2 linked regions of the Drosophila melanogaster genome follow. The gene in region 1 interacts genetically with each later gene. Each region holds a gene or a part of one and is shown in the gene's direction. Other genes may lie near its edges. The genes, in order: Ccm3 and GckIII.

The links.
Region 2: of Ccm3 (region 1) and GckIII, changing one enhances a phenotype caused by changing the other (phenotypic enhancement), as found in Drosophila melanogaster (one study listed by BioGRID).

What each region holds. Positions count from the first base shown.
Region 1 is NT_033777.3:15,369,903-15,374,989, forward strand, and holds Ccm3 (cerebral cavernous malformation 3), read left to right. Parts: upstream 1-2,054; 5' UTR 2,055-2,249; coding exon 2,250-2,315; intron 2,316-2,492; coding exon 2,493-2,670; intron 2,671-2,728; coding exon 2,729-2,861; intron 2,862-2,946; coding exon 2,947-3,111; intron 3,112-3,483; coding exon 3,484-3,568; 3' UTR 3,569-4,335; downstream 4,336-5,087. Other genes in the region: CG6136 (uncharacterized protein), read right to left, coding at 1,120-1,911; Rbp (RIM-binding protein), read left to right, coding at 4,960-5,066.
Region 2 is NT_033777.3:17,083,672-17,088,649, forward strand, and holds GckIII (germinal centre kinase III), read left to right. Parts: upstream 1-1,841; 5' UTR 1,842-2,126; coding exon 2,127-4,055; 3' UTR 4,056-4,317; downstream 4,318-4,978. Other genes in the region: kuk (kugelkern), read left to right, coding at 1-738; cal1 (chromosome alignment defect 1), read left to right, coding at 4,731-4,811, 4,869-4,978.

The sequences.
Region 1 (5,087 bases):
TTCTGTTCCAAAACACACAGCTAGAGTGAATCAATTTTAGATGCGCCTGCGCATGAAATTCGATTCATATCGATAAGCCTAATTTGAAATTAATGTTCTTGTCCTCATATGTAAATATCATTAAACAGCTAATGTCATTATTTTGAAAAGAGTTTTCAATTTATTTCATTCAATTTGCCTATTTGTAGGAATACGGATTTTTCGACATACATATCAGATGCGACCAAACTCCTTCTGGCTCACTGCAGGTTTTTTTGGCGACTTGATATTGCACTTAACACCCTTCTGCGAATGGTTTTCACTTCGGCAATTGTGGCCGTTTTGAAATCCATCTTTTCGACAAGCTTTAGCATGCATTTCACTTGGGATATACTTGGATTTCAAGAAAGAGATCTCAGAAATTGATAAAAACCTACCTTTGAAACCAATCTCCTCACTTAGCTCGTAATATGAACTCAGCTCCCTACCACCTTTCTGCCGTTCACATACTTTTCCGGAACGGCTTCTAGATGTTTGTGTTTTCGTTTGGATCTCCACCACGTCTTGGGTTTGCTCTTCCTCTTCAGGCTCCATGTGAGACTTGCATTGCGTCCAACATGCCTCTCTGATGTTGGTCGCCTTGCAAGTCCTACGAAGATGACACCTTCTTTTACTTGAATTTCGCCTAAAAATATATTAGTTTATAACCGAGTTCATATTTCCTTCTTTAGCTTACTCTATTTGTTTATCTTGAGCTTTGTTTTCCAATAAAGATTTAATGCTGTGCTCATTGTACGATAGCCCCGAAATCAATCTTCTATTGTTGGCCAGCAGTTCTTTCAATCTCCTCATATGATTATTTAGCTTTACATTGTATGCTTCTATTCTATGCAATACCCTTTCTGCATTATTTAAGTGATCATTAAAAGAATTATGTTCTAGAGCAGCAGGATTCTCTACTATCTCCACAATCATGTTGTTTCAGCACAATCAAATCAAATCAAATTTGGATTATTTTTTAGAATTTAGAATTTTAGGGATAAGACTACTTAAGTAAAAGGTATATACTAGTTATATATGATGTAAACAAACAGTTAAGGAATAATTTAAGTCTTAGGGATAGGTTAAGTACTATGATTTTCAGCGGGAGCTCATCGCTTTCGCAATGGTAACCATCTTTCGCACCACGATGGAGTTGGTTCCGTAGTAGGGGTCCACGTCCTGTTTGCCCATGGTCACGTCACACTCCATTCGCGTGGTGGTGGGCGCCACGTAGTCCTCGCCAGCCGTGTCCAGGGCGGAAGCGTGAAACTCTAGGCAGCGACTGACCGTGAGGATCTCCTCCAGGTTGGACACCTTTATGCCGGCGCCGGGCATAACTATAAAGTCTCTTTGATGTTTGGCTATCAGCTGTGCCAGGCAATCTACGCCATCGGCAGCCGTGGGTCGGAATCCGCTGCTCAGCAGACGTCGGAAACCTAGTTCCCGCAACATGTCGACATTCTCGTCCATGGACTTCTGGTCGGTGAGGTCGAAGGCGCGGTGAAAGGTCACTGGCAGACCACCGGACGCCAGCAAAACGTGCCGACACTGATCCACGTTGATGCTGCGATCCGGATTCAGGGATCCGAAAACGAAGCCATCGGCACCGTTTTCCCGCAGCAAGTCCATGTCCGTGAGCAGGGCGCACATCTCCTCGTCGCTGTAGACAAAGTCGGTGCCCCGCCGTGGCCTCAGCATGCAGTAAATGGGCATTGTGAGCGTTTCCTTAATAGTTTTTAGGGTACCGATGCTGGGTGTCAAGCCACCTTCGCCCAATGCCGAACACAGTTCAATGCGTGAAGCTCCGCCTTCCTCGGCGGCAAAAGCCGATCGTATGGAGTCCACGCAGACCTCCAGCTTGATATCGTGGTTGGACATTTCTCTTATCATTGATAAAAGGACAGGTAAACAAAAATAAACCAATTTATTGCAGAGTTCCGATAGGTTTATGTAAATCAGCTGATTCTACCATCAGCTTCTACAGAAGCAATCGATATCTAACCAAGCACGACACGTTCATCGATAAAAACCAGTTAGTTTCCAGTATTGAAAAACAACACTGTGCCTGTGCTGTTGTGAACAATTTTTGTTAATTTTTTAATTTGATTTGCGAGCGTCGTGCGAGCGAAGCGACGGACATCGCACGGAACGGGAATCGCAACTGGGTTCCTGCAGCATGCGCCAGGATACCTAGGCACCAGTAGAGAAGACCAAGCACACTAGTAGCAATGACAATGGGCGAGCCCACGTCGTCTCTCGTTCTGCCCGTCATACTGCGGCCCATTTTCTCCCAGGTAGGTGAAACGATCCCAGGTGCTCGGCTCCGCTCTGCTGTGCTCTGCTCCGAACCCGTCAGCCCCAAACCGTACCTCTGAACCCTTCAGCCCCGTCAGATCGTGGCCTGTTGCGTAAACCTTTACATGGGGTACTTGGGTTTGTAATTGCTTAACTTTGTGTACGTTTACCTGCAGCTCGAGCGACGCGACGTTGGCGCTGCCCAATCTCTGCGCTCCGCCATTCTCAAGTCGGAGCAGAACAATCCGGGCTTCTGCTATGACCTCGTAGCCACAATTGTGCGGCGGGCCGATCTGAATGTTAACCTAAACGAGGCCGTGCTCCGATTGCAGGGCAAAATTACGGAAGCGGACCGTAAGTAGCCACGCCAGCAGCTGAGTTTCGTAGCTAACGAAGTTTCCCCCTTCCACAGTCAATGAATACCGCTTGACGCGCACGGAGGAGCCCTTCCAGGAGCTCAATCGTAAGTCCGTGGCTCTCAAGGTGATCCTCAGCCGCATACCCGATGAGATAAACGACAGGAAGACCTTCCTGGAGACCATCAAGTAAGTAAAAACTCAAAATGAAGCTAAAACTCACTGCATAAGCTTAACTGATTAATGAATAATGAAATTTTACTGCGTTTTACAGGGAAATCGCCAGCGCCATAAAGAAACTACTCGATGTGGTCAACGAGATCGGCTCGTTTATACCTGGCGTAACGGGCAAGCAGGCTGTGGAGCAGCGTAAGAAGGAGTTCGTCAAATATTCCAAGAAGTTCAGCACAACGCTGAAGGAGTACTTCAAAGAAGGACAGTAAGTATTAAGAATCACCTGCAGTGATTATTTACTATATGTGTTATCAAACGATACGCTGCGACGCCATGACAGCCGGTTTCTTTAAATCGGCTCATATCTGGTTTCTTATCGTTTCGGGCCAACCGTTGAGATGATGTCATTCCATTGGCATTCCGGGTATTGTTTGGTTTATCATTTTGCGCCGGAGATTCTGAGGGGCGGATATTAAGCCGGACCCCCGCCCATTTTAAATTGTAAATTGCTTCGATTACGTACTAATGGCTATTACCGCTGACCTTTTCATGAAATTGGGGCCAAATTGCATTACTAATTCAAATTGCTTCAGCAAGGATTTTCTAACCGATTCTCTTTTATTTTATCTATTTTCAGACCGAATGCAGTATTCATAAGTGCACTTTTTCTAATACGGCAAACGAATCAAATAATGCTGACAGTTAAGAGTAAATGCGAGTAGAGAATTAAATCCTTTAATTATGGCAAATTAATTAATTAGTGGCATTTTAATTTTATGTTTAAATAACCATTTAACATACCAAGACCGAAACAAATCAAATAAACTCAACACACTTAAATACAAAATCGCCCGACGCAGTCCAAGTTAAATGTTTGAACGTAAATGAAAATCTGTTGTAACTAAATAAATAGGCCTAATTTATATCGTATATACATATGTATTACACATACTCGGACACAAAATTTTGCGAAGCCTAAGCATTGTAATTAACTAGTGAGCAACTATTTATGGAGACGGACGATGTGTGCGAGAGTTTATTTTTCGTTTACAATTTATTGTAAATAATTCATTCTTTTTCTGTTAACAAACAACATCGGCTAGTTTGTTTTTGTTTAGGAGAAGCGCCTACGAATAAATTTAAAATTAGTGGAAAAAAAACGAGAAACAGGAAATGTATGTACTACGGGGAGATGACAAACAAAAACATTAACGGAACACTTAAATTTTTAACTGTTTTTAATTGTTAGAGTTTGAAATTTAAACACTATACATAATAATCTTTTACTTAATGATATGTTCTATTTGAAAACTGCGAAAGCGAAAGACATTAGTGGCCGACAGCACTATCAACAGGATGGAGAAAAAATTATTTTAATTAATAAAATGTTATATGAAAATCGAACACTAAGCAAAAGTAAAAGAACGGCAACAAACTCATAATGTAGACATAGCGAAAAGAAAACGACAAATAAATGTATTTATATTCCAAAATTGAAAAGAGTGTTTCATATTTAACCAATTTACGTAAAATTACTTTATAATTTATAGTATTAGGTGTGGTATGATGTGGAAATAATTGTTTTATATTACCCGAGAATTGATTTCGAAAATCAGAGATTGGTAAACTGAAATCAAAATCTCAGATTTACACGCACATGTCGTTAACAGAGGACAGCGCTGTTAACGGATAACAGCCAAAAGTAATAGTAAACCCCCAATAACAGGCCCTGAGCAGAAATTTACCCAGTTGCAACCCCAAAGGAGTCCTTCTGAGAGCGGGAGAGAATTGCCCGTTTTTCAGTGTCATTTGGCAGAAAAATCGATTCCCCGCACACTGAATAGTGGGCACTGGGTACTGAGTGCTCGGCTCTGGGTTCTCTGGGCCACTCTGCTCTGGCACACTGAGCACCGAGCTGGCAGTTGGGTAGAAATCAGAGTGCGCCAGCAGCGCGACCGAGATGACCCACTTTTCGGTATTCGCACTGAGACCCAACTGCTACTACCCACAGAAAGTGGACAACTAGGCGGAGTTTTTTTCTATATAGTAGCAGTGAAACGATCGCGTTTTTCGGATATATTATGTACAGCCTACGTAGCCTAGTGTAAACTATATGCATTTATGTGAATTTCCCAGCGCAAACGTGGAAGAGGAAAACAGGCGACCTGAAAAAGCAGCAGCAGCAGCAAGCAAGAAGCAGAAGCACAAGCAGCAAAAAAGGTTCGCAACCCGTTCAAAAGC
Region 2 (4,978 bases), 1.7 Mb from region 1:
AACAAGCAAAGCACCGAGGTAGAGCTGGCTGCCCAGACTTCCAGCTCGCCGGCAGGAACTCCGGCTCGCACTTTCGCCCAGATCAGCGGCAGGCGTAGCATACGACCCATCGACTCACTGACGCCCTCGAAAATAGGCACCTACAGGTGCGGGAACAGCGATCTGGACACCTCGAACTGCACGAACGCAAGCATGAATGCCACAGTCGGATCAGAGATCCCCAACAGCTCGTCATTTTCATTTTCATTCTTTGGCCGTGGCCGCAAGCGTGAACGCACTCCCCCACCACTGACGGCCTCTCAGTCGACCAGTGACCTGGGCCACGACGTGGATATGTCGCCGCCAAAGCGCGCCCGCTTCGACTTGTTCAGCCTGAATTTGGCTTCTCCCTTTAGCTTGCTGCGCTCGAGATTCTCCAAGGCAACAATCGGTACTCCGACCCGTCTGCGTCTGGAGCCGAACAGTTCCGGCGTGGAGGAGCAACATCTGAACACATCTACGACTGGCGTACCAGAAGAGGTTGATGTGGAGGAGGAACAACCGGCCGAAGACGTGACCGTTGGTCAGGAGGCCGGAGCGGAGGAAATCCCCGCCAAGAAGGATGTCGAGGATAAGAACGTCAATGGCCAGGATGGCGACAAGGAGTCCAGCGATGGAGAAAACATTGACCCTGTTGTAGAGGTGGCTGATGTTGCCGCGGTCGCTGCCGAGGGCCGATCCATCTGCTCAATTATGTAATACAACAGGCCAGACCACATAATACCCTTCCCTTAGTTGATAAGATTGTCTTAGCATATCTGTTTCACCCTCTTTGGTAATTTATGTTCTGACGTAAAGTAACATGTTAAGAGAAAGTTTTATAGCTAGGACTCGTCGGGTCGTTTTTCGTCAGGAAAATCACCGTTCTGTCACAGATTCCTTGCTGGTTGTCTCCTCGCGAACTCCCGGGTCGCAGACAACCACCGACGAATCTGACGATCTGTACCCAGGCAAAAGTGGGTACCAACCGTAGAAAACCCATACTTGTAGTAATCTGTTTAAGAAATTTTTATATAAAACACATATTTGTGAAAGTCTTTTCGCCGAGTTCATGTATTGTTTCGCTATATCAAAAGAAAAAAAGAAAAATGTAACACATTTCATAAATAAAGTACATTAAAACGAAATATCTGAATTTTTGGTGTATGCATGGGTATTGAAGGCACTGCGATTTTCTTTTTCAGATATAAGTAACTTATGTGTTTTATGTATTAAAATAACCCATCAATTGCGATATTAAGCTTAAAGAAAATTATTTTGAATGATGTGAAATTGAATCCTTAGTGATGGCGAAAAAATCATTTTAGTTGCATCGTTTGGAAACCAGTTGTTTTTATTTATACTCGATAACTACATCCATTTACAATAAACTAAAAATGAGGGACTCGATGTAAATTCATTCTGCAACATTAAGTTTTTAGCGGGTATCGATGCAACGCTTTCCAATATTCAATATTATGTGGCAACGCTGCCAAATGGGTTTTGTAATTACAGAAGTGGGTAAAGAAATAAAATAGTTAACATCTAATATTTATATATTGTAAGCTTTGACACAAGTCGAATAGGAAAATAAATGAATAAGTTAATCTTATTTAAGCTTTTCGGAACTGCTAACGAGTTAAATAATCTTAGGGAAATTAATAACTATTATATTAGTGAAAGAATAAGAATTGCTCTGCCAGAGTTAAGAAAATACATACGAATCGTGAAATAAATATTATTACAATTAAAATAAAAAATTAATTTTAATATTTATTTTTCGGCTGGCGGCTCTAATCAACAGCTGGAAAGATATCGATATCGACAGGAGAATATCGATATTCAATCGGTATTCGATACTGCTGCGATACAGCAAAAAAAAGAGAGATTTCTCGGATTAGATGAGATACCAACGAAAAAATTATTAGTCAAGTGCCCCCGCAGAGTAGTTCAGCCACCAAATAGCCCGCAGAACAGTTCAGTCCAGTTGGGTCCAACACAAGCCAGTCGAGAGCCAGCGGAGTAACAAGGAAACCCGTGAATCCAGAAGGAGGTGGAGGAGGAGAGCCAGAAGCCACGAAGTGGGAAGTAGAAACCAGATAGGAAACATGTCCTGGACGGAGAAAGTCGATCCAGAGCTCATCTTCACCAAGCAGGAGCGCATCGGCAAGGGCTCCTTCGGCGAGGTGTTCAAGGGCATCGACAACCGCACCCAGCAAGTGGTGGCCATCAAGATCATCGATCTGGAGGAGGCCGAAGATGAGATCGACGACATCCAGCAGGAGATCATGGTGCTGTCGCAGTGCGACTCGCCGTACGTGACGAAGTACTATGGCAGCTTTCTTAAGGGCACCAAGTTATGGATCATCATGGAGTACCTGGGCGGTGGATCCGCCTTGGACCTCATGAAGGCCGGCTCCTTCGAGGAAATGCACATCGGGATCATATTGCGCGAAGTGCTTAAGGGCCTGGACTACCTGCACTCGGAGCGCAAGCTGCATCGCGACATCAAGGCGGCCAATGTTCTGTTGAGCGAACAGGGCGATGTCAAGCTGGCGGACTTTGGAGTCGCTGGCCAGCTGACCAACACCACATCCAAGAGGAACACCTTCGTGGGCACGCCCTTTTGGATGGCGCCCGAGGTGATCAAGCAGTCACAGTACGATGCCAAGGCGGACATCTGGTCGTTGGGCATCACGGCTATCGAACTGGCCAAGGGTGAGCCGCCCAATTCGGAGCTGCATCCGATGCGCGTGCTCTTCCTCATCCCCAAGAACAATCCACCCCAGCTGACGGGCAGCTATACCAAGTCTTTTAAGGACTTTGTGGAGGCCTGCCTAAACAAGGACCCGGAGAACAGGCCCACGGCCAAGGAGCTGCTCAAGTACCCGTTCATCAAGAAGGCCAAGAAGAACGCCTATCTGATTGACCTGATCGACCGCTTCAAGAAGTGGAAGGTCTCCAAGGGCGACGAAAGTGAGACGGAGTCTGAGAACTCTGACTCGGACTCGGACGCCAAGCAGGGCGGCAGCAGCCAGGATGAGCCCTGGATCATGACCGTCAAGGGCCTGCATATCAACAGTGCTCCGCGGGCGGGTGTCAACAGCTTCCAGTTGCAGGAGCACGAGCTAACCATGCAGAAGCTGATGCAGACCACACACTCGCCAGCCGGCGGTGGTGGCGTGCAAGCGTCCCCTGCTGCAAATGCATTATCGTCCTCTGTGTCCGCCGTGGCGGCGTCAGCTTCCTCCGTATCGGTCATTACAGCCAACGAAGGTGTCTCCTCTGCATCCGCCCTGCCCCCCCAGAACAGTCACGTCCACAACCACAACCACAACAACATTAACAACAATAACATCAGAAACTTGAGCAACAAGCATGCCACCACCACCATGCTGAACGCAGCTCCTCCGCCGAGCAGCGTCACAAGCTCGTCGTCGGCCAGTGAGCTGCAGCAGAAGCGTTCCAGCTCGAAGCCGGAGCTGCGCCAGTCGCGATCCGCCGCCCCTCTGGATCAAGTAGAGGATCGCCGTGCCTCTTTGGGCCTGCCATTGCAGTCGTCGGTTCCGACTCCATCGACGGCTGAGCAGCAGCAACAGCGCCGCAGCAGCCAACGTGAATCATTCCATGCAAATAACGCCGCGCTGGTTGCCAGCTGCAGCAGCAGTAGCAACAACCACAGCCACGAGGAGCATGTGGCCACCAACCATGCCAGCCATGTCAAGCACTCTGGGGCGGGACAACGCCTAGTCCAAACGAACAGCGCCTGTCTGAACAACTTCCTCTTCCCCGTGCTGAGCGACATCCAGCGAAAGTACTCCGGCGGAGGATCTGCAGGAAGCGGAGGATCAGGCGGCCGTAACATAGGCGTCGGCAGCGACATCGGCGACCTGAAGTCTGTGTTCGAGCTGGCCGAACGTTCCAGTCCGGGAGTGAGCGACCTATTTATGAAAGAGCTGATCCACATGCTCGTTCCTGGTTACTCGGAGACGCGAATCAATACGATCATGGACCGCGCCATACGCAACCGCAAGTAGCTGGCGAAGCCGTAGCAAATTCCGATTCCAAGCAGCCTATTTTAATATATACACAACTTTATTAACGACACCGAGACAACACAAACTGAAACGCTGGAGCAGACATATTCCGACATTTAGTGGCCAACAGAGGACCGGGAGCGATGTACATGTATTTCAATTGAACAGTTATTTAAGCATATAATATGTATTCGTTTGTTTATCTGCAATATTAATCTAATGTAAAACATATATAACTTCAAAATAAAAACCCCACAAAAATAAACAATTCGATTTTGGCGCGCTAATGCGAACTTGGCATCATTGGTGACTCCGAGTATTCATTTGATCTGGCAACGCTGGACGCTAGCGAAAAATGCAGTAAATAAAAAAATAAATAAATTGAATAAACAGGATATCGTTAAATAAATAATAATTATAATCAAAAAGCCGTGCAAATAGAACATCAAAACGACCTTATTGGAAATGAGGAACCCAAGTTTTCTATTTGTTTTATATAAATAAAAATGGGACGTGTTTAGTTAAGTCGCGTTTTGGTGTATTTTTTGGCGCCTTGGAGACGGTAACACCAGTGGCAACGCCATTTTTGTTGACTCTTTATTTTTGTGTTTTAAGATTTCTTTTAGTTTTTATAAATTTTAATCAAGTATTCCGTGAACTGATAACTACATAACCATGGCGAATGCGGTGGTGGACGAGGAAACACTGGAGGCAATGGTCTACGAGCGCTCTAAGGCCTGGTCCAGTAAAATGGCGGTGAGTCCGTAGAAACCCAAGTGGCGTCTCTTCTTGATGGACGATATTGTTTTATAGGATTTTGCCAGCCTGGAAGACGGCATGGAAATAGATGTGGCCGAGTTCGACAACTTGTTCCACGGCGAGGACGAGGACCCCGACCTGGATGACGTGGCAAAGGAGGCTGT